4 linked regions of the Saccharomyces cerevisiae S288C genome follow. The gene in region 2 interacts genetically with the main gene of each other region. Each region holds a gene or a part of one and is shown on either strand. Other genes may lie near its edges. The genes, in order: STB5, EAF5, PAC10 and SSF1.

Evidence for each region.
Region 1: mutations in EAF5 (region 2) and STB5 together harm fitness more than expected from each alone (negative genetic interaction), as found in Saccharomyces cerevisiae (4 studies listed by BioGRID).
Region 3: mutations in EAF5 (region 2) and PAC10 together harm fitness more than expected from each alone (negative genetic interaction), as found in Saccharomyces cerevisiae (3 studies listed by BioGRID, with this or other methods).
Region 4: mutations in EAF5 (region 2) and SSF1 together harm fitness more than expected from each alone (negative genetic interaction), as found in Saccharomyces cerevisiae (4 studies listed by BioGRID).

What each region holds. Positions count from the first base shown.
Region 1 is NC_001140.6:452,815-462,246, reverse strand, and holds STB5 (Stb5p), read right to left. Parts: upstream 2,949-9,432; coding exon 717-2,948; downstream 1-716. Other genes in the region: ROF1 (Rof1p), read right to left, coding at 4,295-5,656; FMO1 (N,N-dimethylaniline monooxygenase), read right to left, coding at 6,720-8,018; YHR175W-A (uncharacterized protein), read right to left, coding at 8,540-8,689; CTR2 (low-affinity Cu transporter), read right to left, coding at 8,806-9,375. UniProt on the Saccharomyces cerevisiae protein: Binds to SIN3.
Region 2 is NC_001137.3:117,354-125,604, reverse strand, and holds EAF5 (Eaf5p), read right to left. Parts: upstream 4,135-8,251; coding exon 3,295-4,134; downstream 1-3,294. Other genes in the region: nucleotide diphosphatase/phosphodiesterase NPP2, read left to right, coding at 1-868; GTT3 (Gtt3p), read right to left, coding at 935-1,948; PMP2 (proteolipid ATPase), read left to right, coding at 2,676-2,807; SUMO ligase MMS21, read left to right, coding at 4,304-5,107; PXP1 (putative indolepyruvate decarboxylase family protein), read left to right, coding at 5,306-6,988; protein transporter TIM9, read right to left, coding at 8,131-8,251. UniProt on the Saccharomyces cerevisiae protein: Component of the NuA4 histone acetyltransferase complex which is involved in transcriptional activation of selected genes principally by acetylation of nucleosomal histone H4 and H2A. The NuA4 complex is also involved in DNA repair.
Region 3 is NC_001139.9:634,234-641,950, forward strand, and holds PAC10 (tubulin-binding prefolding complex subunit PAC10), read right to left. Parts: upstream 6,139-7,717; coding exon 5,539-6,138; downstream 1-5,538. Other genes in the region: UPF3 (Upf3p), read left to right, coding at 71-1,234; mRNA splicing protein SMD1, read left to right, coding at 1,479-1,919; U4/U6-U5 snRNP complex subunit PRP38, read right to left, coding at 1,914-2,642; mitochondrial 54S ribosomal protein mL59 MRPL25, read right to left, coding at 2,871-3,344; PEX8 (Pex8p), read right to left, coding at 3,511-5,280; YGR079W (uncharacterized protein), read left to right, coding at 6,487-7,599. UniProt on the Saccharomyces cerevisiae protein: Binds specifically to cytosolic chaperonin (c-CPN) and transfers target proteins to it. Binds to nascent polypeptide chain and promotes folding in an environment in which there are many competing pathways for nonnative proteins.
Region 4 is NC_001140.6:227,269-234,528, reverse strand, and holds SSF1 (rRNA-binding ribosome biosynthesis protein), read right to left. Parts: upstream 5,195-7,260; coding exon 3,833-5,194; downstream 1-3,832. Other genes in the region: exosome non-catalytic core subunit RRP4, read left to right, coding at 1-950; DYS1 (deoxyhypusine synthase), read right to left, coding at 1,233-2,396; hydroxyacyl-thioester dehydratase HTD2, read right to left, coding at 2,717-3,559; RNA-dependent ATPase RRP3, read left to right, coding at 5,492-6,997. UniProt on the Saccharomyces cerevisiae protein: Required for biogenesis of the 60S ribosomal subunit.

The sequences.
Region 1 (9,432 bases), on a different chromosome or scaffold from region 2:
CCAAACAATGGCAATGATTTTCCAACCCAAAAAGGAAGTTCTTACCGATTCTACTCCGTTTTGCTTTACTAAGCACACGAGACGGAAAAAGCATGCCGCTTCCGTTCCGTGCAATATATTCATTCATTTGTAATGAGCATCCAATGGTTGGTAAGAACACTTAGTAGAGTCTGAAGATTGAACAAGAGATGCTAAGAGATCTTGAATTACGGAAGTTCATTACGGAAGTTCATTACGTAAGATATTTCCATGCATCCGTCGCAAGTTCCGCCTCTTGGAGACATTTTGTCATCGCTAGCGTAGGAAGTTGAAAACGCGTATTGTGCTAAGCCGCTAAATTGTAGTGATTTTGATGATAGTGTTCCGGCGAAGACCTGCCAGCTCTTATTTCTTACTCACTTGCGTTTGGCGTCTTGTAGCATTATCTATCTTATAGAGTTACTTACTTTCAGAAGCATCTTGCAACAAACGACATAATTGCAAAGATATATATATATAATCAATTAATTGTTCTCATAAATCGCTTTAAGAGTTCATGGCAATCAACTTTTTCATTTGTCATTAGGGTTGTGTTATAAAGTACTCATTTTTCATTAAAATACATATGTGAATAATCAATAGAAGAATCTTGTCGTGAAAAAAACTGTTTCATTAAACGGCAGCAACAAGCCGCTGCCGTATAGTATGACGACATGACAAAACTCGGTGAACATATGTCATACAAGTTTATCAACCCAAGAGACGTCAACATTGTTTTCGTCTAATATGTCTTGATATGAATCGCTGGCGCCAAATAACTCTCTTGTTAATTGGTCCATATTAGGAACTTTACCATGGCTTAAACTAATATCGAGAATTGTGTTGCTAATGTTTTGGAAAACATCCGCGCATCTCATAGCAAAAATCCATCTTTCACCGAAATGTCTTAGTATTTCCACACACTGTTGAATTTCGATTTTACTTTCAATGAGGTCGATGCTCCACTGGCAAAGACAGTATAAGATAGTGTTACAAATGGTTAATGTTCTGAAAAGGGTTATCCAGTTCAAGGGTAATAACCGCTTCTTGTACAGTGTATAAGTATGTTTCCAGGCTTGCAAGCAAAACTCTCCTAGAGTGGATAGTGAGTCAATGGGCGGTTTTGGCATCAATGCAGATGGTCTGTATAGTAAGATTTGCAACTGGGAGTATCTCATTGCTAGCCAAATCTCAGAACTATGGAAGGATATTACATTTGTAGTAGAATTGTTCTCCCTCTCCACCTGATCCATTTGAGATTTTTTCAGTTTCCTTCTTTCTGATTCTCGAGAATAAATTTCGTCTAGCTCCTTGCGTAATCCACTTATGATTTCCTGCTTTTGTTCGATGGTTAACTTTTGTCGCCCTGCACTTACAGAGTGGACTTGTTTATAAATGCGACCGCCCATTTTCCTTAATGATATCATCAACTTGGTCATCTCTAAATCGTCTCTTTCATCCACATACAACGCCCTCGGTAGTGGCACAGTGATGTCTTCGTCGTCGATCCCGGATATACGGCCCAACGAGGTGCATACTAGCCTTTCAAAGCAGTAAGCACTCCAAAACACTCTATATCTTGCCTCTGCTTCTAAAGCAGACATGCTCTTGAGTTTTTTGGCAGTTAACTCTCTATTTAAACCTAATCCTATGGTCAATCGCATGATGATACCACTAATTGTCCATGACGAGGAGCCCTTTGGCTCAAAAAACGAATAAATACCCAACAACAATAGGCATCGTACAGTTTCGATATCTTGTAAAATTATAACACTACGAAATTTTTTCATGGCCAAAAAAGCCAAATGTTCACTCAGACACTCTTCGTCCTGAGAAACCATACCAGCACGCTGTAAAGTTGTACAACCAATAGCCATGATCATGTATACTTTGAAAACAAAGCTGTCAGGGTAGTTTTTGTTGTCATATAACCTTTCGAAATCAGTAATTGTCGCGGCGTCATTTAGGAATGCTATTTTATCAATCATGGGAAATAGACGGTGATTGTGTTTGAAGTATGCGGCAATGAACCTGTCCAGTAAGGATCTATCAATTGACTTGAACGAGCCATCCTCTCTGACCCACGATGTTGTTCTACCACCTTTAAAGCAACAGGACATAGTTTCAAATTCGATCGAGGATGCATCAACCGGCACAGAATCGAATTTCCCATTGGGGGCTGAATTGTTTGCATATGGGGTAAGACTCAATTGCGGTGTGTTGGTACTGCCATTGTTATTATCGTGGTTAACATTACTGCCGTTATCCCCGTTGCTAGTATTGCGATTGTTGTTTTGTAGCGGTACGGCTTGGGCGTTCGCAGGCACATGACTGCTAATTAGTGGTGAAGGCGTGTTATATCCTCCGAATGATGAAGTTGTCGAACTTTGCTGCACGGAAGCTGGCAATGATCGGGAAGGAATCATGGAATTTTCATTAGAGGATAAGTGCGAAGAAGGATTAGAATTATCATTCAGCGATGTTAGCACCGAAATTAGCGATGAGACACCTTCGCTAGAATTTGGACTTGCCCCCATGACAAGATTTATTGGATCTGACGGTTTTAGCTGTTTCATCTTATGTGCATCATCGTTTTCGTAAGGCGAAAACCCGGGAGTTATAGCGCCATTTGCGGATAGCGGACTAGAAGAGTTTGGCATGCTCTTAGTGCTCAATGGGCTTTTTCCTACCTTCTTGTTCCTTTTCACTGGAACATATTCCCCTCGTAGCATAGCATCCGCTAACTCCTTCTTGGTACGTCTTGGGGCTCTACCTGGATATGAACAGTGTGCCCCATTTTTATCGCAGTTTGCACATGTCGGTATTTGTTTACCACACTTCTTCTTTAATTTTCTGCATCGTGCGCACGAATACAATTCAGTAGTACGTTGTGATCTCCCGCCTTGATGTGCAAAATTGGGACCATCCATGTCCTTCTTTTACACCTTTGTATTAATTTTTTAGCCCTGTACGCTCGGATATTATACCTCTTGTTACGTAGAGGAAATAACCGAACCTTGCCAAGAACTTCATTGTCGGTGTTTTATTTCGGAAGCTTATTTTTCTTTTAGTATTTCCGCTCGCCCTATTTTTCCCGTGGTATCGGCCTTGTCGTTATATTCCCTGCGGGTGATGGCGCCATGAATTAAATGCGACGCTATATAATAAGCTAGTAAAACAAGATATATTATGTGAAATTAAGTAGACAATCTGTCGGAGAATCTTCTTGGCATATATAGTATAATCGAGTGTAGTTTTCTTCCCGTTTTCCGTTGAGATTGAAGCCTTTTTTTTGTTTCAATTCCTGATGTTCATCAAAATAGAAGGTTGCAAGGAACGCATTAAATAATTCGTGAAATTTACAACTTTTGCATCAACAATGGAGTAAGCCACTCTTCATTCTTGAGTGTATTACCAGCATTAGTAGTGTTCTAAATGATTCAACAGTGCTAAGCGCTTCTTGTTTTTTTTTTGCACTTTTGCTTTTATTCGGGTTGAAATCGTCGTACACATTACCACAAGTACCATTGTTTCAATGATGAATCCGTTTATATATGCGTAGCGAGTAGATATAGAATCTGTTAACATAACTTCATGCCTTCTTGTCTTAGAACATTCCTATACGCGAGAACCGCGCCGCGAAGAAGAAGCCACAGAAACATAAACGTATCCTCAAGAAGTCTTCGAGCTTTAAGTCGTTTCTCTTAGTCTCGCTTTCACAGTGTTACTGCTATCATTTCTTCACTCCTGGAGGCAAACGGATATTCTATAGAAGAAATTGGATGAGGACAAAATGTGTTGTTGCAACTTTAACTACGTGAGAAAGGTGAAAGTAAGGTATTAGAAGAGAGGACACAAGAGTTATAATATCAGTAACTTTCGAAGTGGGTATCTCACATGGTTTTGATTGGGGTTCTCGATTGTTTTGCCCCCCTGGTTTATTCATTTTTCATAACAATGCCAAGAACCGTTTTTAGGTTTGATTTCTCAGTTCCCTTGCGTTTCTTTCTCTGGAAATTTCATGATAGAATTACAAATTTGGATATGCTTGTTAGTATATGATACAATGATGGAGGTGAAAATCAGATGGTCCTATAAATAGTTTTTCGAAATCCATCGATGGTAGGGAACAACAAGAACAAGCACCCTCCTGTTTTTTTAAAACCCTTTCTGAAAAACACACAATTGGCTGCCCTTTCTATGTAGTGAAGAATCCTTTTGGAATATGAGCGGTACTTTAGGTGAACCTTTCAGCAATTGAAAGGATGCTGATCTTCTACTTTGAGTATTGGTGGGATTTAGGATTGCTTGATGTGTTGTTTTTACTAAATGTTGGTGGATGTTGCATGCTGTCTGGCGCATGAATCATTTGGTATTGTGTTTGAGCCGGGGGATTCATACGAGGAGCTGGCAAAATATAAATGCCATCTAGGTTCTTGTTGGTTGTGGAGGTGGTTATGTTTACATTTGGAGGATTAATAGAATCTGTGACTGGTTTTGGTTGTCGGTAATCATGCACAAGTATATGGTGTACTGGGGGCATCATTGTTGGGGCGATAGGCGCCTTAGAGTGATTGCATTCAGGACCCGACCTCGAAGAGTATGGATCGATATTTTGGTATGGTATTGGGCTCAATGTATTGGAGGAGTATATCACTGAAGGCGACACGCCACGCCGTTCATAAGGTGCTGCAGTAGGTTGTTGCGGGAGAGTATTGTATGTATTGCAGAAAATCATAGGTTGTGAGACCGTACGTCTCAATCCAGGCTGATAGTTAGGATTGTAAACACCAATTGGTTGTGGCTGGTGCTGCATATACGGGAGAGGTAATTTATTCTGTTCATCTATGGGTAAGAGATATTGTTGCTGTTGTCGGTGCTGCTGTTGGTGCATTTCTCGAGGAGCGTTATTGAAGGTGGTTAAAGGTAACTGAACTGCGGTCCTAACTGGAATATTTCCAGGATGGTTGTTATAATTGCTCAAGAGATCACAATAGCTCGGAGAAGATGATAAAGACCTGCGCGTTTTATAATTATGAGCTTTGGTTCTGCCTCTCTCATTATTTTTAGACGGGTTAGATCTGCCATTTCCTACAGCAACTTTTTGTAAAGCATCTAATAGTTTCTGTGAAGGTCGAAATTTATGGAAGAAAGGATTTTCTGAAGGTCTCCTCAAACTTCCTTGATGAATATCCTTTTCCGTATAGTACGCAATAAGATGAAATGTTTCCAGCTTAGTGCTGTCGGTGGGATCCATATTGAATTTTAGAGAAAATGTTTTTTTCAGTAGTCCAGTATAAAAATACTTCCTATGAGCCCTCTCGAAGATATTATACTCAGGTACATTATGCAGCGGTAGATCGTGCGTGGAACCCAGCCTATTATACTCTCTATATACGAGAAATTTGCCTGAAATTCTTGAAGGAGACCAAGAAAAACCATCTGTCCATCTTTTGATGCCGGATTTCTCTTCGTTGAAAACAAAAATGTTTCCGGGGTTGACTAATTCAACCTTTTCTGCATCATATGGCCTCCGTTCGATGCATCTCAAATTTCCATTGAATACGCCCTGGAAAACAAGGGCTAGATCTTGCTCGTCGTCGATGTACCCATAACAGGTAGGGCTGATATCCATCATTCTTACGCTTACTCGTCGATCTCCTTTTCCTATCTATTGTTTGATTAATTATCTTAATTCGTGGTTCCCTTTTTTCTCGCTTTATTTGTTTGTTTTGTTGAAGAAGGGCTTACAAGAATGTACGTATTAAATAATAATTCATACAAATAAACAGGGAATGATACATAGTAGTTCTCCCGCAGCAGCTACGTATGAATTACCCGCCTACCCGGTACTATAAAGAAAGAATAAGTGGGCGTCGATTATGAAGATTTACTAACTGCAATTATCATTTTTTTGATTTTCCTCAGTCCCTTAGGTGCGTTTTTGTGTTAATGCCTATTTTTTTTTTCTAGGCTTTCTTCTTCACTTCCTCTTTCCTCTTGAATTTTGAGGAATATACGACCGAGAAAAAGACAGACTACTTAAAAAGTTGCCAGAGTGATTAAAGTTCCGGGAACAAGGCTAAAATACGTTTACAACATATTCTTCCTTTTTTTTCCACATAAAAAGGTTAATAGTCATAGTCATATGTTAGCGTGATTTCAACTTAAAATTAGAGATTATTAGATAATTTTTTTTTAAATGACGGCCAAGAAAGTGAAAGTCTAAAAGGAACGTTTATCGCTTAATTTCTCTCTGCCTCAGATTCATACGTTGTTAAGATCTTTAAAAGGATGGCCTTTGCAGGATACTGAGGTTTATGCTGGCGCGCCTGTGCGGATTTTCCAGATTCAAAAAGAAAGTTTTCTTTTTTTTTTACATGGGAACTGCGTAGCCGCGAAGCACTGCAGGCCTTTCAGAGCAATTTTTGGCGCTGCCTTTTAAAAACTTACATTAAGGTTCGCTATTGCCGAAACGGAAGAGGCGGAAATTTAAGTATTCGTTAATTTTACGGTGGCGGTACGGTATATTCTGCGTAAGCAATCTGCGGACGGCCGGATTATTAATCAATGTTTGAAAAAAAAAGATAGCAGAAGTGAAGATTTCTTATTTTAACAGCGATAAGGTATATACATGAGGGAAACGAAATATTAAGCGGCACAATATGTGTTTTTTCTATACAAGTACATTCCTTTTTACGTTAAGTATGTGGCGCCGGAAGGAAGTATGGTGCTTTTTTTTTCTTTAGGGCTTGTGCGTGTTCCGCTAGAAGCACATTTCTTTCTTCTTTGTCTGTATAACTACTGTTTCTTAGATCGATCAGTCTATCATCCCATACAACTGGTTCGAAATGACCGACCCTACGTGGAATGCTATTCAGTAGTTCCTGTAGTTCTGCATAGTATTCCAGGTCCTTTCCCTTTGGGAAGTTGTGCGTTCCGCAGGCATTAGAGTCGAAAGTTGTAGTTATCGGTAAGCTTTTACAGAATACTTCGACCATAATAGCCGCCTGTAGTTCCGACAACGGGAACGGGATGACCAACTGCGGGGTCAAGATAAAGGACAGCGTAGGATCTTTTACATAGATCATGTGCTCCCACAAATTGTGCAGATTGACAGACGAGTGCTTGTCGCCAGTAACACCCTCACCTAGCACTTCCAGTCTAACGGAGGGCTCTATAAATGGAAAGCTGTAATAATAGCCTGTGGCGAAAATAATGTAGTCTATATTCTGAAGTACTCTTCCATCAGATAAAGTAACTGAACGATTTTTCCAATCGGCACTGTCTATTGTTTGGACAGTCTCGATTAACTTGGCCTTCAGTTGATTGCTCGCAGGCTCTTTTATACTATTATATACTTTCTTTGCAACGGTAGTTAGTTGGTTGGCAATATCTTGGCCGGAACTGCCGTTTCCCACCACAATAACGACTTTTTCACGGGCAAACTCGCAGTTTTTGAAATCCTTAGAATGAAAGGCGCCCTTATTGTCGAACCATAGATCGAGACCTGCGATATTAGTTGGTAGTTTAGGGACACTGTAGTGACCAGACGCAACAATAACGAAGTCAAAATCCGATTTAGTAGTCCTTAGTTCGTCTTTAGATGTTATCTCCCATTGAGAGTTCTTCTTCTTTAAGTAGGTAACTTCGGTGCTGAAATGGATGCTGATAGCATCTTTGTTGGCAATGAACGTTTTGTAATAGGCTTTCAAGTATTCCCAAATGTTTCTTCGAGACGGATATAAAGGGACGTTTTCCTCGAAGGGAAAGCCGCTAAACTGCATTAACTTCTTTGATATATTGGTTTCCAAATGGTCATACATGACCCTCCCATCACTTTTTTGTTCTGGATAATGCCAGACACCGCCAATATCGTAATCCTTTACAAATATTTCTATTTCAAAATTTGGAAGACTTTGCGAGAAAACTCTTGCAGCTGCCAACCCTCCTGGCCCCCCACCTATGATTGCCAATCTTTTTTTGTCATTCACTGTCATGCCTAGTTACTTCTTGTTATTTCTCGCTTCCTGCTTGAATTTTCTGTATTATTGTATTTTCGACTTGTATAAAAACAGTGGCCCATTTAAATACAGTCCCAAATAACGACTGCGTTTTTGCAGTGGCATTTATCCTTGATATGAGGCTACAGGATTATCTTGCATAATGGCTTTTCTCGGCAAAAAGATGTCTGGCGCTTCCTATGTAAAGGTAATATCATGTGATTAAGAGTGAAAAGAGGAATTTAAAAGGTAGAAAAGGGTTCATGGAATCTTTCATAAAGCAGAACATTAATACTTGCCGCGTTGAAATGAGGTGCGATTTCGTGTTGTGGACGGGACATTAAATTCATCACTTATATAATTAAATATAACGTTATAGTAGATCGTCTCAAAACGGTATAACAACCCGCGCCCACCCTTAAATAGTATTACTTTTGTTCAAGATTAGCTCGAATGGTCGCTGGCAAACTGTTGAAGAACTAGATCGTTTCATGATTAACATCTTGGCGACGCAGAAGTTAATGATATAGAAATAGTGGACTATTTTGATTACTGAGGCTGTAGCCAATAAACGATAACATAAAGGGGGGGATATATAAACTTGTGTCAAAGACTAGTAACGTACGAGTGCTAAATATTATACATGTAATGTTAACGTAGTTTATCATTATACTCAGTGGGAACAAATAAAGGGAAGGGTATGAATGAGGAAGAAATACGAAAAATCCCGGATAAAAACAAAATAGATACAAATAGTATCAAATTTGTAATATTTGTCACCATCTTAATGGCAGGCGAGGGAGCTGTCATCTATCTCAGGACTATACGAAGTACACCAGCTGTAATTACCCCATATTGCCCCACACACGACAGCTAACATTAACCAACCATTATAAGTCATGAATACAAGCATGAGCATGAATGAGAATCCCACTTGCAAACCATATAGAATACTATTGGACACTTTGTCGGCTTGGTTGATCTTGGTCAGAGATCTATTTGGTAACAATACTCTCTGGGATAATTGTCTCTTATGGACACAGTACTTTAAGTACTCATAGAGGTAGGCTAGACCAAAAATTGCTAAACAACTTAAAATCAGTCCAGGCAGGGTCTTGATATGCCACCATTCAAAGACGACACACGTATTCTTGTATGACCACGAAAATAGCATATTCATCGAACAGGTATCATCTCCATCTCCCATATGCATATCACTGTGGTCGTGGCCCGCATTTCCTTCCATCTTGTGATTCATGCTATCCATCTTTTTTGAGTATCCAATTAACGAAGACGTTACCAGCTGATTGAAGGTTCTCAAAGTGACTGTACTCCATGTTTTCTTATCATCCATGTAGTTATTTTTCAAACTGCAAATTCAAGAAAAAGCCACGCGTGTGCACCTTTTTTT
Region 2 (8,251 bases):
CGGGGATGTACCTAGGGAAAGAATGCCATTTTATTTTGGGAAATTCAATCAATGGGAAAAACTTCAAGATAAATTAGCTCAAATTTTCCGATACATAGATATGCCTCAGCTTAAAGATAGGCCAGAATTGGTCATAAGTTATATACCCAATGTTGATTCGTACGGACACAGTTTTGGATACGATTTACGAGATAAGCGGCTACAAAAGCTGATCGGTGAAGTCGATGGATTCTTTCTCGATTTGATTGAAGGCCTGCAAAAAAGAAACTTGTTGAAAATTAGCAATGTTATGATTGTTAGTGACCATGGCATGAGCAATGTCAACGCGAATGACGGTGAGCATGTTGTTGTGTGGGAAAGGGTGTTCCCGGCCGACGCAATGAGCGCATTTATTTCGCATCTTTATAACGAGGGCCCCATGATGATGGTATGTTTGAAAAACCCTCGAGACAAGCAATGGATTTGTGACTTGATTGAAGCTCAGTTAGAGAAAGCATATGGAGATGAAATATCGAGGAAGTTTCACGTGATCCTGAAAGAAGATTTCGACCCGAGCTGGAAATATTTCCAATACGATAACAGAAAGCACAGATATGACGATAGGGTCGGCGATATCTGGATTCTCGCAGATGAATACTACGCCATTGTAAAAGAAATGGGTGATGTGCCTATCGGCATTATGGGCACACATGGATACAACTTTAACAACTGTAGTGATATGGCATCTATATTCATTGGAATGGGTCCGATGTTCAACAATGAAGTCGTACCTCCATTTGAAAACATCGAAGTATACAATATGCTGATCAAGGCAAGTGCGCTTTTGGGAGAAGAAAAGACAAAGAAGGAGAAGAGTTTATTACAATAATACAGAGTAGTAAATACACACTTCGCGGCTTACGTACGCGTGTGTATACGTATGTAAGAAAATATACTATAATACGTATAGAGTGAGGAGACAACTAACCATGGAGAATACTAGAGGTACCATACCAAGGGAACGGTTCACTGTACAGAGTTGTGTCCATAGTTGGTTAACACATCGAAAAGAATGGAAATCTATGTTTTTATTATTACAAGTTTTGAAGATTGCCAAAGAAATCAAGAATTTCGTGAGATTGAAAGTCATCGGGTCCAACTCGATGTTCAGGTCGTAGCGGATGAAGTTGATGTAGTATGACACTAACGTTGGAATACCCCTAAAGAAGAGCAGCCACGTGAGTATTGGTAAACAGAAATCGAGCGTGTATTGATATTTATTATGGGCGGCAACGGCGGCTTCCAGCGACGATGCGAGCGAAGAAGAAGAAGTTGGCTGCCCGGCGGCTAATATGTTTCTCACCAGAAAAGAGAATTCCAACAAGGAAAAAATCGTATCGACGGCGGAAATAGTGGAAAGATAGTCCTGAACATTTTCATTCAATTTCTGCGTTTGGTATCTAATATCGGAGAGGTATTCCTGAAAGTTAAACTTGAACTTAGTAAACGCAGAGGTGGACGAGTCGTTATCTGTGCTAAAATCCAACAAATTGAAGTTCGTTTTGGCGTTTGAATTTGCATTCCTGCTGGAAAGCGGCTTTGTCGCGCTTGTTTCATCGCCTGATTGCGGTTTCTCATCATCATCCTCCTTGATGTACGCTTTCTCCAGATCGGAATCATTTGTGGCGGTGTCACAGGATCCAGACCCAGACCCGTTTCCAGATCCGGATCCGTATTCGTTCCGTTCATCCTTTGACTGGTCCACTGTCATCGACTCATAAAAGGACCTTAGTTCCGGGTAGTCGTCTTTAAAATCCACAGGTTTCTCAAGATGATTCAAGTGCGATTCGAGGTAATCGATCATATCACTCTTCTTGGCATAATTGGGGAAGCCGTCAATTTCCAGCTTGTTGGCCAGGTCAATTAGGTCCGCCTTCTTCCAGCGACTAAAAGTTGACTTGGTCGGCATATTGTATTATAATGATCTGTGATGGGCTGTAATGCACTTTCACTTTTGTTTTCTCCCCTTGTATATAGATATTTTCGCACGTTGTTTACGTATTGTGTAGTTCTTTTTGTTATGAGTGACGAATGCACGCAAGTAGCGCGCAGGAAATTATCATCATATACGTATATCATCATATACGATTTACCACTTTTAGCACATTAACAGCTCGGGAAAGAGTTTCGGAACTCGGAAAAAGCACGACAAACGAGGGCGAGCCACTAAATTACCGCAATCCTACGACCACAGCAGCCCGGGCCCTCTCCAAAACCGCGCTCTAGCCCGCTCTGCTTACTCCCTGTGCAGCGCCGCCCGCGGTAGCACTGGCCAACACCCTGACGCAACTCGTCACCACGCTGTTGAGCTGTTTTCGAAATCCGTCCGCAGCCCTCCCTAGCTTTTGCATCAAAAAAAACCTCTCGCTATTTTTCCGGCGCGGATACTTAATTTCCTTAACGAATTACAGAACTTTTTTCTCTCTTTCTCTTCCACACCTTTTGGTTTAAATAAACAGTGAAAAAAACTAAAATTCCGTAATCACAACTCAATTTCCTTTCCTTCCTCTTGGTTAATATAAAATCAATTCTTCTTCCCTTCCAGTTTTTTCTCTTTCGTCCTTCCTTCTTCCTTTCTCTTTTTCTCCATCGTATACATACAAAACAATAAATAGTACAATAACAATTATACAAAGATGTTGATGAGCACGTTACCAGGTGGTGTTATCTTAGTTTTTATTCTAGTCGGTTTGGCTTGTATCGCCATCATTTCTACCATTATCTACAGAAAATGGCAAGCTAGACAAAGAGGTTTACAAAGATTCTAAGCGATCACTAGCAAGCCAAACGAGCTTGATGTTGTTTTCTCTTAGTTATCCTCTTTTTTTTTTTTTTTTCAATTACTGAATATTAATGAATAAATTAGACCTCTTTTCTCCCCAACCCTTTTAATTTCTAATAATTAATTAATTTTTCCTGTGTGTGTGCTATATTCCTACTTTGTATCTGTGCTGTTCGATTCCTCTGTTGGAACGATGTGATTTGCGTGGGCGTTTTATCGCAAAAAAGTTTTGGGCATGCGGGCGTGAATGGATGTTGTTTGCCGTGTGTGGGCAAATACACCCTGCTCTTCGTTTTGTTTGTCCCGTTCTTTCCCATTTTTACCTACCTACTATGTTTTTTTTTGAGAAACATGTCGCTTCATTTGTTATATATTGTTCTGTTAAAGAATTGTGTGTGTATTTTTTTAATAAAATAGTATATAATAGTAATGTTACAAGACTTTAGATTTTCGAAGTGTCGCCTACTATCTCCTTACTCTAGTGCTCTTCTCATGAACTGCACCGTATCATCCAATTCAAACTGCACTTGTCTAGCCAATTTCCAGTCGTCCGTACCAATGACCTTTCGCATTACACCGTCCGTTATGCTCTTTTGAAGAATCAGCTGCAGTTCATGAACGCTGCCGGGCGTTTCGTTCTTTATGTCTTCGTAATTTATCTCATTCTTGATAATGCTACCATCGGGACTCTTGAATAGCTTCTGAAAATTCCCAGTTTTACTTTCCAATTTATTCAGAACGGTATCTCTGTATAATTTCAATAGTTTTTCTCTTTTTGGGTCCATTGAATGCGCCATGTGTGGCGTAGTCGTAGTTATAGTAGCACTGGTACCAGCAGATCCACTTTTGCCAGCATTTGCATGTGGTTGCAGTTGCGATGCACCGGTCTTTATACCGTTCTTCAATATCTCATCCTCCATCATCCTTATTTGTTCGACCTGCGTTTTCTTGAATCGATCGTACTTTTCGTCAAGGAGCTTCTCGATATCATGCATTTCCAAACCGTGTAGACTAAGTTGTCCATCGTTTAGTGTTGTTCTGTACTCTGGGAATAAATTCTTAACTATGGTCAGGATATCGTTGATGCCCAGTTTCCTGTTTCCATTTGCCACGTTGCTTTGCCTTCTTAAATTTGTCAGCTCGTTGATTAGCAAATTGTTTTGTATTTCGTTAGTCAACTTGACTAGCGATATTCGAAGATTATTCCCAATCATGTTGATTCCTCCCCCGTTCCTAACCAGTTCTTCATTCTTGTTGGAAATTAAAGTGTGTATTAGCTGCAACACTACCAATTCACTTACCTCTTTATCCATCTATGCGTTCCTTTGATTCTGGTTACTCCGGCACGCAGAAGTATCTTTTTACCAGTGCTTCTCTGGTTATTTTCTTCCTCTTTTCCTGTGTAGAAAAAAACTTGCTAAAATAATCGTGTCAGTTAAAGAAACCAAGGCAAGACTATATAAAAAAAGAATAACTTTAAAAATGGCCTTGAACGATAATCCTATACCCAAGTCAGTTCCTCTACACCCAAAATCAGGTAAGTACTTCCATAATTTACATGCCCGAGACTTATCAAATATATATCAACAATGCTACAAACAAATTGATGAGACCATAAATCAATTAGTGGATTCTACATCTCCTTCCACCATCGGCATTGAAGAGCAGGTCGCAGATATTACTAGCACCTACAAACTCCTCTCGACATACGAATCGGAATCCAACTCATTTGACGAACATATTAAAGATTTAAAAAAAAATTTCAAACAATCCTCAGATGCCTGTCCGCAAATCGACCTTTCTACCTGGGATAAATATCGTACCGGAGAACTCACCGCTCCCAAATTATCTGAATTATATCTAAATATGCCCACACCAGAGCCTGCAACCATGGTTAATAACACAGATACACTCAAGATACTAAAAGTGTTGCCGTACATATGGAATGATCCAACTTGTGTAATACCGGATCTGCAAAACCCCGCAGACGAAGACGATCTACAAATAGAAGGTGGTAAAATTGAATTGACTTGTCCTATCACCTGCAAACCTTACGAAGCACCATTGATATCAAGAAAATGTAATCACGTCTTCGATAGAGACGGCATTCAAAACTATTTACAAGGATACACGACAAGAGATTGCCCGCAAGCAGCGTGTTCTCAAGTCGTTTCAATGAGGGATTTTGTAAGAGACCCTATTATGGAACTAAGGTGTAAGATCGCCAAGATGAAAGAATCTCAGGAACAGGATAAAAGAAGTAGTCAAGCCATCGATGTTTTATGAAAACAAAATTATTGTTTCTCTTATCCGAGCCCTTCGGCCCGAAGTTCAAGCAAAGCTAACTAAAGAAAAAAGTTGGAAATTTACAAAAGGTTGGTATATAACCACATTATATATAAAGGAAAAAAAAGGCATTGGTTACTTTTATGTGATAAGAAGAATATACTCTCTACATTCAAACCGTCACAACCATCCATCAATATGACCACGACCGCTACCCAACACTTCGCTCAACTTTTACAAAAATATGGCATCGACACAGTCTTTGGAATTGTGGGCATCCCTATTGTCCAACTAGCGGATACGATGGTTGCCAACGGTATCAAATTCATTCCATGCAGGAACGAACAGGCTGCCTCATATGCAGCCTCTGCTTATGGTTATATTAGTGATAAGCCCGGCGTGTTACTTATTGTCGGGGGCCCCGGTTTAATCCACGCACTGGCTGGTATATACAACTCAATGAGTAATAGGTGGCCTCTTCTAGTAATTGCAGGGAGTTCTTCTCAAAGTGATATACATAAAGGCGGGTTTCAAGAGTTGGATCAAGTTAGTCTTTTGTCCCCATTTTTGAAGTTTACCGGAAAGTTAACCCCTGACAATATTGACATGATTACTCAGAAGGCTTTGAATTACTGTATACAAGGCACTGCAGGGGTTTCTTACATAGACGTCCCTGCAGATTTTATTGAGTATGAAAAACCCTTAGAAGGAAACGACCGTACAGGAAATGAATTACCGATGATATTAACTCCAAACATATGTGGCCCTGATCCGTCGAAGATCAAAAAAGTCGTACAGCTTATTTTGCAACATAAAAATAAAAATATTCTGATTGTTATTGGAAAGGGTGCGGTAAAAAACTCACACGAAATCCGCAGACTAGTAAATACGTTCAATCTACCATTTTTACCCACCCCAATGGCTAAGGGAATTGTCCCAGACTCTTCTCCACTGAACGTTTCATCTGCAAGATCTCAAGCATTGAAAATAGCGGATATTGTTCTTGTTCTCGGGGCAAGATTAAACTGGATATTGCATTTTGGTACTTCACCCAAATGGAACTCAGAATCCATATTCATCCAGTTCGATTCCAATCCCGAAACCTTGGGGGATAACAATGTCTCACCTGGTGCTGACCTTTCCATATGGGGAGATATAGGCTTGAGCGTAACCGCTTTAGTTGAGGAATTGACTCGCCAAGATTCCTGCTGGAAGTATAGTGGTGTTAAGCAAGAAATACGAGAGAAAATTCAACTGAATCAAACTCGTCTATTGAGGAAAGAGAAGACTAGAGGGGCACAATTGAATTACAACCAGGTTTATGGAACATTGAGGCCTCTTATCGATGATTACAGGACAATACTTGTGACGGAGGGAGCAAATACTATGGATATTGCGCGTATTTCATTCCCTACAGACGCTCCAAGGCGCCGTTTAGACGCAGGGACCAACGCGACTATGGGGATTGGGCTCGGATATGCTCTTGCATGCAAGGCATCTCATCCGGAACTCGATGTGGTGCTGATTCAGGGTGATTCCGCATTTGGATTCTCTGCCATGGAAATTGAAACGGCAGTAAGGTGTCAGCTGGCATTGGTCATCGTTGTGATGAACAATAGCGGTATTTACCATGGAGAAAAGGATATAGAGGGTGATTTACCTCCAACGGCACTAAGCAAGAACTGCCGTTACGATCTCGTAGGCAAAGGACTGGGTGCCAATGATTTTTTTGTCAACACAATAAGCGAACTGAGCAGATGCTTCCAACAAGCCGTGCAGCTTTCTCGGACTAAAAGAGAAACAAGTGTCATCAACGTTATCATTGAGCCTGGCGAACAAAAGCAAATTGCCTTTGCCTGGCAGAATAAACCGCGTTTATAGTAAATATGCATGTATATATATATATATATATATATATATGTTCATCTCTCTTATAGATGTCAATCTAAATACTTACAACACACATTAATGAATACCTCGTATACGTTTAAGGGCAAATGTACTCTCGCAGAAGGAAATATTGCAAGTAACTTGGATAACTAAAGCCGAGTTAAAGATCTGCCAATTGAACATAACATGGTAGTTACATATACTAGTAATATGGTTCGGCACACATTAAAAGTATAAAAACTATCTGAATTACGAATTACATATATTGGTCATAAAAATCAATCAATCATCGTGTGTTTTATATGTCTCTTATCTAAGTATAAGAATATCCATAGTTAATATTCACTTACGCTACCTTTTAACCTGTAATCATTGTCAACAGGATATGTTAACGACCCACATTGATAAACGCTAGTATTTCTTTTTCCTCTTCTTATTGGCCGGCTGTCTCTATACTCCCCTATAGTCTGTTTCTTTTCGTTTCGATTGTTTTACGTTTGAGGCCTCGTGGCGCACATGGTACGCTGTGGTGCTCGCGGCTGGGAACGAAACTCTGGGAGCTGCGATTGGCAGTGGAACAGTGGTAATTCCTACGATTAAGAAACCTGTTTACAGAAGGATCCCCACCTATGGGCGGGTTATCAGATATTATCAGGTGGGAAATTCGGTGGAACACAGTGGAGCCTTGTCCTCCGGGTTAATGTCGCTTTTGGCATTGGCCCCTGCTCCTGAGAGAAGAAATATACTGGGGAACCAGTCTTTACCGACCGTTGTTATCAGAAATTCACGGAGTTCGGCCTAGGTCGGACTCCGATGGGAACGGCAACGGTTGTTCCGTTTGACTTGTCGCCCGCTACGGCGTGAGCGTCAAGGTCTGTTGAGTGCAATCGTAGGACGTCATTAGTGGCGAACCCGATACCGATTACTGCTGCTGTTCCAGCCCATATCCAACTTCCAATTTAATCTTTCTTTTTTAATTTTCACTTATTTGCGATACAGAAAGAAAAAAGCGATAGTAACTATTGAATTTTGTTTGGATTTGGTTAGATTAGATATGGTTTCTCTTTATATTTACATGCTAAAAATGGGCTACACCAGAGATACATAATTAGATATATATACGCCAGTACACCTTATCGGCCCAAGCCTTGTCCCAAGGCAGCGTTTTGTTCTTGGAAACGCTGCCCTACACGTTCGCTATGCTTCAAGAACTTTTCTGAGCACTTCATGATGCATGTTTGTTCCTTATTGGTT
Region 3 (7,717 bases), on a different chromosome or scaffold from region 2:
ATATCAGCAAAGAGGAAAGGAAAACCTACTGAGGGACTTACATTTCTGCTGAAATATATAGTAATCTATCATGAGCAATGTGGCTGGGGAATTGAAGAATAGTGAGGGGAAAAAGAAAGGCAGGGGAAATAGGTATCATAACAAGAACAGAGGAAAAAGTAAGAATGAGACGGTAGATCCTAAAAAGAATGAGAATAAGGTTAATAATGCTACTAATGCTACCCACAACAATAGCAAAGGCAGAAGGAATAACAAGAAAAGGAACAGAGAGTATTATAACTATAAAAGAAAGGCTAGATTGGGTAAATCAACCGAGAATGAAGGATTTAAGCTTGTTATTAGATTGCTACCTCCAAATTTGACTGCAGATGAATTTTTTGCCATCTTACGAGATAATAATAACGATGATGGTGATAAGCAAGATATCCAGGGTAAACTCAAGTACAGTGACTGGTGTTTTTTTGAAGGTCATTATTCTAGTAAAGTATTCAAAAACTCGACATATTCTCGGTGCAATTTCTTGTTCGACAACTTATCAGACTTGGAAAAATGCGCAAATTTCATTAAAACTTGTAAATTCATTGATAATAAGGATAATATTACAATTCCAGATATGAAACTGTCGCCCTACGTAAAGAAATTCACTCAAACATCAAAAAAGGATGCCGCGCTAGTAGGAACAATTGAAGAAGACGAAATTTTTAAAACATTTATGAATTCAATGAAACAGCTGAATGAAAATGACGAGTACTCATTCCAAGATTTTAGCGTATTGAAATCTTTAGAAAAAGAATTCTCAAAAAGCATAGAGTTAGAAAATAAAATAGCAGAAAGAACAGAAAGGGTGTTAACAGAGCTGGTTGGAACTGGTGATAAGGTCAAGAATAAGAACAAAAAGAAGAAAAATAAAAACGCCAAAAAGAAATTCAAAGAAGAGGAAGCATCCGCTAAGATACCAAAGAAAAAACGGAACAGAGGCAAGAAGAAGCGTGAAAATCGTGAAAAAAGCACCATTTCTAAGACCAAGAACAGTAATGTGGTTATTATTGAGGAAGCGGGTAAAGAGGTTTTGAAACAAAGGAAGAAGAAAATGCTTTTGCAAGAGAAGTTAAAAATATCAAACTCCTCTCAGCCTCAGTCATCATCCGCTCAAACCCAGCCGTCGTTCCAACCTAAAGAAAACCTTTTCGTACCACGGGTAAAAATTTTGCATCGTGATGATACCAAGAAGTAGTAAAAGCTCATGGCTTCTTATATATTATATATGGAATACATTTATAATAAAATAATAAGAATTATATATTTTATGATTATATTATTACATAAAGTATTCCCCATTATAAATTCTGAGTTTCGTATTTAATGATTTTTCAATGAATATTTAAAATAATAAAATATATGAAATGTTCATATACAATGAAATTGTCATGAAGAAAGATGACTCCAAGTATCGTTTATAAATCGTCGAGAAAAAGATTATGAAGTTGGTTAACTTTTTAAAAAAGCTGCGCAATGAGCAGGTTACCATAGAACTAAAAAACGGTACCACCGTTTGGGGTACACTGCAGTCGGTATCACCACAAATGAATGCTATCTTAACTGACGTGAAGTTGACCCTACCACAACCCCGACTAAATAAATTGAACAGTAATGGTATTGCGATGGCTAGTCTGTACTTGACTGGAGGACAGCAACCTACTGCAAGTGACAACATAGCAAGTTTGCAATACATAAACATTAGAGGCAATACCATAAGACAGATAATCTTACCTGATTCCTTGAACCTGGATTCACTTTTGGTTGACCAAAAGCAACTTAATTCCCTAAGAAGATCGGGTCAAATTGCAAATGACCCCAGCAAAAAGAGAAGGCGCGATTTTGGTGCACCAGCGAATAAAAGGCCAAGAAGAGGTCTATGATTCGCTGCTGGTGTCGTTGTCATCTTCACTGTCACCATTACTTTCGCTTTCGCTAGAACTACTCTCTTCATCAGAGTTGTATATTTTATTCCATTGACATTTCCCTAATGGAATACCCCAGATATGGTCCTGTGTGGCCAACCAATCGACTAATTCATCAATGTGTATTATACAAAGTTCTTCGTTATAGGAGTGAGCAAAGCAGTCTACTTGTAGTGGGAAACTTTTTAGTTTGAAATAATGCTGTGAATATTTGTATAATTGTACTTTAAATAACTTTATCAAATCATTTTCATCATCATCGTTTTTGTTATTGCCATTCAAATAATAATACTGTAACCGCGCATAAACCAGAAGCAAAGCAATAATATATTTCGAGTCAAAACCGTTCTCATTTTTTACATTCAATAAGAAGTTCAACTGCTGGAAATTCGGTCTGATTTCGATTAACTTCATTAAGATGCATTTAAACTCAATGCCACCGAGAACCATCATGTGTAAATGACCATTTTGACCTTTTATGGTACCAAATGCGCCAATCATAACTTTCAAAAGCTCTACCATTGTATTGCCTCTCAAAGATTCGTTGCTTAGATTTACTTTATAGTACATTGAATTATGAATTTTATCTCTTGTCAACCGAGGAATAACAAGTGACACTGACTGGTTATTCAGTTGTTTTGGAGAGATGTTAGACTCCACTTGAAATTCATTGACAGCCATTGTAGTCCTTGTTCTTTACCCACGTTTTGTTTTTGTTCTTGCGTTTTTACTGCCACTGAAAATATAGCGTTGTAATGGCTTTAGATTTTACTTTTTTTTATCATAATTCTTGTTCAGAACGTTCGTTATTGATATCACAAAATTATTTACATGATTAGACATTAAAAACATAAAACAGTACACATAGGGTTTACTATTCTAAACTATAGTTATCTTCTCTCTTATTCTTCAGAACCAGCCTATACTTTGGTTTTTTTTCATTTTTTCTACTCTCTTGGCATACTTCGAACCCTTCTTGGAAGCAATCAACTCATCTACCTTCTTTAAAGCTTCTTCACGTTTTTTTAGCTTTTCGTTTAATTTCAATTCATGCTTATGACCCTTGGGCAAGAGAACACCTTTCATGAGGGTCTTTTTATTGTATTTCTCCTCGAAGAAAAGTTTCTTAGTGTTTTCGATCGGTGGTAAAAACTCTTCTACTCCATAACGCAGTGCCAACTTATATACGTCACTCATTCTTCTAAGTGAATATTTCGGATCATGAAATCGTTGTGTGACCGGATGTTTATTTGGCAGGAAAGGATTGGCATTAATGGCTTTAGTAGATGTAGACACTGGAGAATACTTGATTGAAGGGGGGTATCTTTGGAAAAAGGACTTCAATTTCAAAGGCAAACTATCAAAATACTGTTTGTATGACATGGAGTTTAGTTTAATGCACTAGTTGGTTTTCCTATTCTGTATAAATGGTTCACTTTATTTCGTATTTCACTTGCTCTTCCACTTTCACTTGTATCCCAGTCATTTTTTTTTTTTGTTTGAGAAAAAAGGAATATAAAAAGGCGCTACTATAAAGTACTTAATGATACTATAATTTAGAAGATTGACTTGATAAGACCGTTGTGTACCACCAGTCGATGGCTAGGGAGGATTCTAGACTCGAAACCATTTCCCACAATTGTTGAAGTAGCTTTTTGTTATGTGTATTGATTAGCTGGAGACAGATGTTCAACCAGCCGATCAAATGATGAGGATTGTTGATAAAGGCTATTTGTACAATCAGACATTCAATCAATACATTCTTCTTTTCTGGGTTTTTTACATTAACAATTCTGATATACGTCTCGTGCAAAGAGTCCCTAAGCAAATGCTTGTTATAATTATGTAGTGAGGGAAGTTGTGTGGATAGATGGCCGAATATAAGTAAAATTTGATTTGCGGACAATTTACCTGCAATAAATTGGTCCATCGACATCTTTAAATAGACGAGTATGCGGGATACTTGCCATTGTGCAACCTGTGAGGAATAAGAGGAGTCTATAGACAGTACAGTGATTGTCAATGTGTGTATAGATTCTTTGATTTCAATATCCAAGGTATTGCCCGTCTTCCCGCTAAAAAATACATCGAAATGCAGTAAAGGTTCGATAAACTCAGTAATAAACGGCAAACGAATGCGACACCCATAGTAATTAGTAATTTTGTTTAGAAAATTGATGTAAAACACTAATTTATTTGGATCTTGTTTGGTGTTGTTTCTTTTCATTAGTTCCAAAACTGTAGTGATTTTAGACAAGTCATCCATGACAATGAAATACGTTACTAAATTATCGTAAACATAATCGTAACTGGGAAAACCGACTGTCCCGATTTTTTGAGTCAATACGTGGACGTGGAAAAGGCTTAAACAGATCATAGAATAAAAAGTGTCTTTATGGTTAGGCAGTATTGTCATATTCATGGCGGATAATTCTTTTAACGCGAGGATTATCAGGATAAATACATTTTGGAACTTGAAATCTAGTTGTTGTTCTTTCAACGAAGCCACAGTATCGGACAAGTATCGACATATCCTTTCTAGTTTGCGTACTGAATTTACCAAAGTTGCCTCATTTGACCTCGTGATTGAACTGGTCAAGCAACTGGCCAAATGATTCAAGTTGGTTGATAAGACTGAATCAGTCGAAAAAATTTCCATCGGCTGCACAATGCCGTGTACATACTCTTCCAAAAGGTCCAATAGTTTCTCTGTGACCAAATTCCATGATACGTCAACTCCATGCAAAAGGGCGCTTCGGTTTGACTGATTAAAAAGTAAAGCTAATGCTATCAGAAGGCAATGCTGAATCGATAAATTAGCCCTGACAATGGCAGTATTCCATAGCTGCGCCCATATTGGTGAAAACAGTTGTAATTTCCAGTTTCTGTAATAAAGCGCAGTTTTGTTGCTGGATTCATCAATAAAATAGGCGTTGTTCAATTGTTTGAAGCTCGGGTATGTGACTAGTACACCATCCAAAACCATCAACTGTGAAAGGTTCCACGTGGCTCGGTGAGATTCGAAAACAGCATTCCAAACCAAGTAAAACTTCGAAATTGGGAGCGTGGGCTCAGAAACTTCCAGTTTCCAAAGGAAAACATCTTTGACGATGTGCAAAAGGCGTAGTGGTGGTAATTGGACAATGAACTGCGATCGGAAAAGTGCTCCGACCAAGCGATACAAAGTGTCGGGGGATTTGACTCTTGGGACGTAGTATACCACATTGGCCGCGATTTCGTCTAGCAGGCGTTGATCATACTGGATCCTCGTTTCGGAAGAGAGTGCAGTGATCAGATATTCGACGTCATGATCAAACATAATGTCCTAATGCCCTCTGTAAGTGCGGTTTTGCGCGCATACATGCGTATTCATATTTCCCTTTTGCATTTGTCTTCTTCGGTTTTCCTGGTAGAATTTCCCTTAATGGGAGAGTAGTAACAATGCAAAAAATGAAGAAAATTGAGAAAAAACAAAAAAGAAAAAAAAAAAAAAAAAAAAAAAGAGAGCTATGTAGGTTGATTGTGTTGTTCTATGTAGTGCCCTTTATTTTTCTTTGGATTTAAATTTACAGACACATTATATCTTGAGGTTTTTAGTCCCTTCTTGAGCCTGCTTCAAGTCTTGCCTTCTCTGAACGTCCCAGTTATACAATCGCGCGCAATTGACCTCCATTGTCGTGATATTTTCCCTCAAAAACTCTACGTCCTCGGTGGACACCGTTAAAGACTGTTCGGAATCCGCGAGTTTCTTCTTTAACAACTCTATGGCCTCGTCGATGGGATATTCCAGCATCACGTCTGCGCCAAGCCACAACCCAACTTTCAAATCCGCCCGATCTTCCGGTATATCAACCTGAGCCTTTGTGTAGAGCGTGTCGTTCAATTGGTAGTGCAACAGGATAGGTTCATCGCTCTCATCGCCCTCGTCGCTGTGATTGCGCAGACTTTGGCATATTTTTAATGTGTTTTCCAAGTCCGGGATTCTAGTCTTCAGCTGCTTTATCGTAGCCAATTTAGATTCCTGCATAAATTTGTACTTAGAAAGCCGTTCTTGGAACTTATTGAAGCACAATTCGAAGTCGCTTGGGTCCTTAATTATTTCGTTGACATTTTCGATGAATGGAGCCTGCGGTATGCCTCTGGCATTCTTTTCCGTGGAGTTGAACAGTGTGTCCATAATAACCGTAGTATCTGTTATATATGTGCGTACAGTTTTCTGCAGTAAATGTTGTCTACAATTTATAGCCTCTACAATAGTGTTAAACTAGATTTTTTCACTTTCTTTTCTGACCAGTTCTGCAAAATGATCGAAGAAACGAAACAAATCATGTGTTACCCGTCCTGCACAATCATGAGTGCCTGCGGTTTCCATATTGGAACGGCACCTTCCTTTTTTGGAAGTCACGTTCCTGCAGCGCGTTTCTTTTTTTTTTTTTTTTTTTTTTTTATTTTTCGGTTTTTTTCGCACGTTTCTTTTTGGTGAGCGAGAAAGCTCGTTGCCTCCTAATATAAAGGATGAGATGAGATGAGCAGTGCCGCAAATGAGGGATGTGTTTATTTGTTCATTGTCGTTTTGCGATTATCTTCGTTTTCATGTGTTAACTCATTCATTCATTCATTTACTCGTTCACGCACACGCAGCAGTTATTCCCTCGACGAGCGTTCACTTGTATCATATAGCATAGTTTACGTAGCAATGAATAAAAGCAGCAAGGCATTTCAGGTACCGAATAAGGTCATCACCAAGGAGGATATTACTCCCTTGTCCAGATCGCACACAAAGAAAGCGGACACTCGCGGGACAGCAGATGGTAAAAACACCACAGCCAGTGCAGTCGAGGCCACCCCAATCATCATCACCACTGCTCGTTCGATAGATACTGCCGGTTCACTATCTGAGAACGCCACCGAGGACGATGGCACCCAAAACGGAGATTTACACGATGATGACGATGATGACGACCTCGAAAGTACGCTCGGCTATAGTTCTGAGCCTGATCCTCTCTTCTCCCCATGCCACCAGCCTTCCTTCACCAACAGCACATTTAGTTACAGTGCGGACAATGAACTACCCATGGAGGAAAATCACAACAAGAATAATTTCCACGATAGCAGCGAGAGCAGTATCTTTCTACCACAGATACAGCAATCATTCTTTTTCGGCGACAATAGCAAGAGTGACGCAAATAATACGGACTTCTGGAAGGAAGTAAATGGCACTGCAGAAGAGGCCATTTGCCTGCAGGAGACAAGACAAAGAAAATGCTCCCTCGTGGCTCTGCATCCAGGCGACGCCACCACGAGTTCGAACGACACATTGGGAATAGAGGACTTCATCAAAGATGATATCAACAGTGCTGAAGCCATGGAACCCTCCCCATCTTCATCACCATCTTCCTCCCTTCTTGATAATTTGGACTACAATATCAAGTTATTGTGCTACAGAGACAATGAGGGCAAGTTCACCTTGAAAAAAAGGAAGTTTTTGAAGAATTCCCTGCGCTCATCCTCTGCAATTTCTAAAAAGTGGAAACCCTTGTCTAAAAGAGATAAGCTGTTGAAGAGGGCCATAAGAAGAAAGAGTGGTGTTTGCCAGACGTTATCAGCTGGTTTTGGTATCGGTGAATTCATGTTGTAATAACAGTACTATTAACAGTACAATAAATAGATTCTTTTTATACAGTGTTAGGGTAACTTGTTTTTGTAGGATTTGAAAAATATGTCATTATAAGATCTATATCTTTTACTATTTGGAC
Region 4 (7,260 bases), on a different chromosome or scaffold from region 2:
CAGCTTCTAAAAGTGAGTCTGATTCTCAAATTGTGACGCCAGGTGAGCTGGTCACTGATGACCCTATCTGGATGAGAGGTCACGGTACGTATTTTCTTGATAATATGACGTATTCCTCTGTTGCTGGTACTGTATCCCGTGTCAATAGGCTGCTATCGGTAATTCCATTGAAAGGTCGTTATGCCCCAGAAACTGGTGATCACGTCGTAGGGAGAATTGCTGAAGTGGGTAACAAGAGATGGAAAGTAGACATTGGCGGTAAGCAACATGCAGTACTTATGTTGGGCTCTGTGAATTTACCGGGTGGTATTCTAAGAAGAAAATCTGAAAGTGATGAACTACAAATGAGAAGCTTCCTTAAGGAAGGTGACCTCCTGAATGCAGAAGTTCAATCATTATTTCAAGATGGTAGTGCCTCTTTACATACAAGGTCTCTAAAGTACGGGAAGTTAAGAAACGGGATGTTTTGCCAAGTCCCGAGTTCATTAATAGTGAGAGCCAAGAACCATACTCATAATTTGCCCGGCAACATAACCGTAGTTCTCGGAGTCAATGGTTACATATGGTTAAGGAAAACATCTCAGATGGACTTAGCGAGGGATACGCCGTCTGCAAATAACAGTTCCTCAATTAAATCAACTGGACCCACTGGTGCGGTATCATTAAATCCCTCCATAACAAGACTGGAAGAAGAGTCTTCATGGCAAATATATTCGGATGAAAACGATCCTTCCATATCGAACAACATACGACAAGCAATTTGCCGGTATGCGAACGTGATCAAAGCGTTAGCGTTCTGTGAAATAGGCATTACTCAACAACGTATAGTAAGTGCTTACGAAGCTAGTATGGTTTATTCAAACGTAGGTGAACTGATTGAGAAAAATGTAATGGAATCCATAGGCAGTGACATTCTTACCGCCGAAAAAATGAGAGGTAACGGCAACTAATAGGAATACAAAAGCCGCTGTTTACACATTTATAAACTACACAGCAGACTCCAACGCAATTTATGTGTATAAACTTACATAATGTCATGGCTATGTACACACGATTAGTACGTATAGAAATGCAATTGACTCATCTTTATTGCAGACATTACATCATATTTTGTTGATATTATAGTAATATGTTCATTTTTTTATTTATCTCTATATTAAAACAAAACTTTTGCACTAAAAAAAGAAATAGTACAGATTCATTTTTTTTTTTTTCATCTCAAAATTCTCTCATCAATTCTTAACTTTTTTGATTGGTTTACCACTGGCAAAGGTAGCAGCAACAATCAATGGAAGAACAGTGGTGACATCAGCAAAAAGTTTGACGGATTTGGCTTCAGCCTTGATCTTACCCCAAGACACAGCTTCGTCAGGTCTTGCACCTGCATCAGAACCATCGTATTCTTGACCAGTGTTAATGTAAACGGCATAATCAGCACCATTTCTCATCAAACAAGCATTGGCAATGTGGTGCTTGATCAAACCACCACCCAAGATGATCATACCGGCTCTGTAAGCGGCCATGGACATTGAATTGATTTTGCGGATATCTCCTACAATGTCAACTCTTAGTTGTTTTGGAGATGCTTTAAAAGTATGGAAAAACAACATGTCACCGATTGAACCATCAGTCAAAGATGGACAAAAGATTGGAATTTTATTCTTGTGGGCCCAGTACAATACGGAGGATTCGTCGTTGATTTCCTTACCAAAACGATCTATCATCTTAGATGGGGTCCAGATTGGTGAATCCACGTCTTGGTTAGCCTCTAAACAGTCAGCGCCATGTTTCTTTACGTATTCATCTTGTTCTTCCAACATCTTATCCAAAATTGGGACAATCCATTCTTCAAACTTACAGTAGTTATCATTTGGAACAAGCAAGTTACCAATACGATTCATACCTTGGTCACGCAAAGATTTACCTTTCAAAGCAAATTCACCCAAGTAAGTTGGAGCAAGACATTTGATCAAATCTTCTTCCACACCACCAGCAGAAGTAACGACAGCATCAACCATTTTGTGTTGCACCAAATAACGTAAAGTTTCACGTACACCGGAACTGATCAAGTTAGAAGTATAACCCATGAAGATAGTAGTCTTTTGGTACCCTTCCTCATCGAAGCAACCTTTCTTTTCATGGTCATCCAATTCGTCAATATGCTTACCTCTCCATGATCTCATACTATCAATAATCTCACAGGCAGTACCAACAGAACTAGCTTGGAAACCCATGGTCTTCATAGCTTCAATTAAATCAGTTGCTCTCATATTAGTGGCTTCAGGCTTTGAGTAATCAATACCTTGAACCTTAACGAAGTCATCTGGAATAGGAACAGATGCTTTCAAGACAGCGTCTTGTAGTAACTCTGGGAGTTTTTCGTTGATATCGGACATCTTTTTTGCTTTGACTTGTATATAAGTTAACTAAGCAAAACACGACTTTACTCTGCAGTTAGATACAAAACTGATAGAGGGAAGTACTTTGCGTCAAAATGGAAATATACATTACATTTAATTTTTCACTTTACTTTTTATTTTTTTTTCCCACCTTTTTTTCAGTTCTTCCCGTAATGCGTTTACCGTCAACCTGGTGATGGCGAGATATTATGGTAATCTCGTTCGTGACCTTCCACTGTTCAGCAGCTACTAGTATTATTTCAAGAGACAAGAAACACACAGGTAGTGATTATCTGCAGAGAGACAATTACTGGTAGTCAACAGAAAACATCAGCTTTCATGTAGACTAAGTTGGCTTTCTGGAGGTCCCTAATTTGAAATGTGTACATTCCGCTCGAAGAGCTTAAAGACTGACATATGCTCAAAGTAGTGTTTGGATATATATAATTCAAATTGCGGTATCGCAACTGTCTGATTGGTTGTTCGAGAAAAGGTTGGATGCATTTCTGTAGTAATTGGACCGAGAAGGGTCCTTGCATGATAATATCGTCGTAGCCTTCAACATAGCGACTGTACTCTTTGTCCCAATGAATTCGGTGCGGATTCAAAGACATCTGACCATAAGCTACAATATCCATATCAGTAACAGTAAAATTTTTTAAGATCTTATAGTTCTCCTCTCCTACGGGCATCTTGACTGCAGTCTTGTTTGCGGGTGAATTGGTGTACATTAATACCCTTCTCTCGAATAAGCAAATGTCCATTGGACTCGACACATTTTCGGGCCTTTCTTGTAAAAGGGTTCTTTCAATACAGACAACATGTTCATCTCGTATTTTTTTTACGTATTTGATTGATTCGTGGCATGTATACTCCTGGTCTAAGGTGACTGGTAAATACTGAACAAGCTCTCCTTGTCCCCAAATCCTTCTACGGTAGCGTAAATCAGGGTTTCCTAGCAAACTTGCAGGATTTTGATAGTTAAAATAACCATCTCTATCCAATTTTTCGAATGATGGTGGGAAGAACAGGAAATGTTCTCCCAGTTGAAGATGCTTCGTTGCCTTTGATACAGGGAGTCTCCTACAAAGTAAACTATCAAACGCTTTGGTTCGGTGACTAGATAAGACATCCCTGAAAATCCACGTTTTGGATTTCATGCTGATAAGCTGTCTTTAGATAAGTGGACGATTGCCCACCTTCAATGTACCAGCCACGCTCATGTATCGAAACAGTAGCTTAAAATGGCGTAAAAAAGGTAAGATCGAATTTTTTTTCACATGCCTTCTGAGATCTACGTTTCCTTTGGGCTATGATTTAAAAGACAAAGAGTTTATATGTATCAAGTATGCAATTTATCTAAAGTGAAGAAGTATACGTGCGTTGGTGGATAGCCAGGCTTAACTAAAATTTTCTTGGTACCGGAGAACAATTTATTCGACCTCACTAAATAAGTCACTATCTAGATCCTCTGGTACGCTACCATAATGTTCGCTGTCACTTGATGAAGACTCATCATCGCTCATCGCATCATCTTTTCCTTGACCTTCACCTCCTTCTGCTGCTCTAGCTTTTCTTCTTTCCAATTTACGTTGCTTTTTAGCGTCTTTAACAGCCTTCTTTTTAGCAATGTTTTCTTCTTGTTCCTTCTTTCTTTGTTCCTTCAGCCTCATTTTTGCAGCGTGTCTCTTTTCTAAAGCTTTGATTTCTTCGCTTGATTTTTGAACAAATTCATGATGTAACACTTTACCTGAACAAATACCTTCTTCTATCTTGACCAGTTTTAAAGTTAATCTTGGTCCTAATTCAGTTAGTTTGATAGCTTTCTTACGTGGGGTTGGTTGCAAGTTTTCTGAAGGCTTAGGTTCCTCCATTTCCACATCTTCTTCTTCTGTTTCTTTTTCACGCTCTTTATTATCCTTCTTTTCGACCGGTGTTCTTTGGGACTTCAAACTTTGAGAATGCTTTGCCTTCACGTCCTGATTATCAACTACTCTCACGATAGCGTCATCTTCAATTTCAGATTCTGATGTATAGGCGCCTAAGTCGTGATCTAATATCAAAGAAGAAATATCTTCTTTTCGATGCAAATTCGGCACTGTTTTACTTAGATTATTTTTGGCTTTATAAAGCCTTTTTAGGTTTCTAGAGATCTCTACTTCTCGAATGTCAATAAAATAGTGGCGCATAGAAATTTCCCCTGTTTCCCTGTCTTTATTGATCATAAATACACGTTTGATAGAATTCAAAGAAGTTCTCGCAGGATTCAGAGGTGGGAAAATATTCTGAAACATAGAAACAATGACCTTCTCCACGTTTACATCCTGGTCGTCTTCACCAGATCTTTTGGATGTGGAAAACCCGTTTAGCACTAGCAATGGAGGATTTAATACATCATCATTATTCAACGATTTAGGTCTCTTCAAAAATTTTTTGATATCTCTACCCAGAGAATAGTCCAATACTTGAAAAGTAACAGTAGGACCTTGCGGAGTTCTAGCTATCTTTAGGGAGACATTTCCTGTTTTTTCAGATTGAGTGAACATAAAAAGATGCGTAACACCTAATGGGCCACACATAACAACGAAATCCTTCAGTTTATTGGACTTGCGCTCTTTCAATTTTATAGCCGTATGTGGTTGCATGATTTGGCGGAAGTCCTTTACTAATTGGTTCAGAGAATGGTTGGCCAAAGAAGTTTGACCCACTCTGATTACCATTGACTTAGGTATACCTTGTTCCTGCTCAGGTGTAAGCTGTGCATGTGTTCTTTTCTTTTGTCTTCTCTTGGCCATCTTGAAATTTTATTGTCTGCTATATCTGGATTATACTCTTTTATTATTAAACATACTACTCACTCAAACCCAGATATCGAACTAATATCGCGATGAGATGAGCTTCTTCGTCTACTTTTTTTTTTTTTTTTTTTTCAGTGAAAAATTTCAATTTCGTCTAAGGCGATAAAAATGAAAAATTTAAAATTAATCAATGAGCATTTAGCAATTGTACATGGTATACACAGAATTGTGACATATCTTAGAAGCAATATATACCAAGATTCTGTTAAGTACTTCACTGAATCAGCTATAAAAATGTCCAAAATTGTTAAGAGAAAGGAAAAGAAGGCTAACGATGAATTAACTTCTTTAGCAGAAAAGATTAGAGCAAAAGCTTTGGAAAATCAAAAGAAGCTTATAGAAGCAGAAAAGGAAGGTGGTTCAGAGTCCGATTCTGAAGAAGATGCTACTGCTGAAAAGAAAAAGGTTTTGAAATCAAAAAGCAAATCCACAGTATCAACCCAAAATGAAAATACTAATGAAGATGAATCTTTTGAATCCTTTAGCGAACTGAATCTGGTCCCCGAATTAATTCAAGCTTGTAAGAACTTAAATTATTCCAAACCCACTCCCATTCAATCTAAGGCAATTCCTCCCGCGTTAGAAGGTCACGATATAATTGGACTTGCGCAAACAGGTTCTGGTAAAACTGCTGCATTTGCTATTCCCATTTTGAATCGGTTATGGCATGATCAGGAACCATACTATGCGTGCATTCTAGCTCCAACAAGAGAATTAGCACAACAGATCAAAGAAACATTTGACTCATTAGGATCCTTAATGGGCGTGAGATCGACATGTATTGTGGGTGGTATGAATATGATGGACCAGGCCAGAGACCTGATGAGAAAGCCACATATTATCATTGCTACACCTGGTAGATTAATGGACCATTTAGAGAATACCAAAGGGTTTTCACTGAGGAAACTGAAATTCTTGGTTATGGATGAAGCTGATAGATTATTAGACATGGAATTTGGACCTGTTCTTGATAGAATTTTAAAGATCATCCCAACCCAAGAAAGAACCACTTATCTTTTTTCCGCTACTATGACTTCCAAAATTGATAAATTACAAAGAGCAAGTTTGACAAATCCTGTGAAATGTGCCGTGTCAAACAAATACCAAACCGTAGATACATTAGTGCAAACACTGATGGTCGTTCCAGGTGGTCTTAAGAACACATACCTAATTTATTTATTAAATGAATTTATTGGAAAGACGATGATCATTTTTACAAGAACCAAGGCCAACGCGGAAAGGTTGTCAGGATTATGTAATTTGCTCGAGTTTAGTGCCACTGCGCTACATGGTGATTTGAATCAAAACCAGAGAATGGGATCTTTGGATCTTTTCAAGGCAGGTAAGAGGTCTATTCTCGTGGCTACAGATGTCGCTGCGAGAGGGTTGGATATTCCATCAGTGGACATAGTTGTAAACTACGATATTCCTGTGGATTCCAAGTCCTACATTCATCGTGTGGGAAGAACCGCAAGAGCTGGTAGATCAGGAAAATCTATCTCACTAGTATCACAATACGATCTGGAATTGATCTTAAGAATTGAAGAAGTTTTAGGTAAAAAACTACCGAAGGAAAGTGTGGACAAGAACATTATATTGACCCTAAGAGATTCCGTCGATAAGGCTAATGGGGAAGTTGTAATGGAAATGAACAGAAGAAACAAGGAGAAGATTGCCAGAGGTAAGGGAAGAAGAGGAAGAATGATGACAAGAGAGAATATGGACATGGGAGAAAGGTAGGCTTTGTAAGCATGGTTTACCTTTTAACGCCCAAAAGTTCAATTTAACTTAGAAATATTTATCTATATGTTCATATATACATCTATCAATATCACATAAAATTGCCTATCATTTCTTATTCGTTTCCTATTTGTTTCTCGAGCCATTCATAACTCATTCCGCGTAATGGGAGCGGTAAAAGATGTGCAAAATAAGTAACTATTTACGAAGTATTCATATTTTAGCTCTTTTTCTTCGTCGAATGTGATGGTGAAATTTTTTCC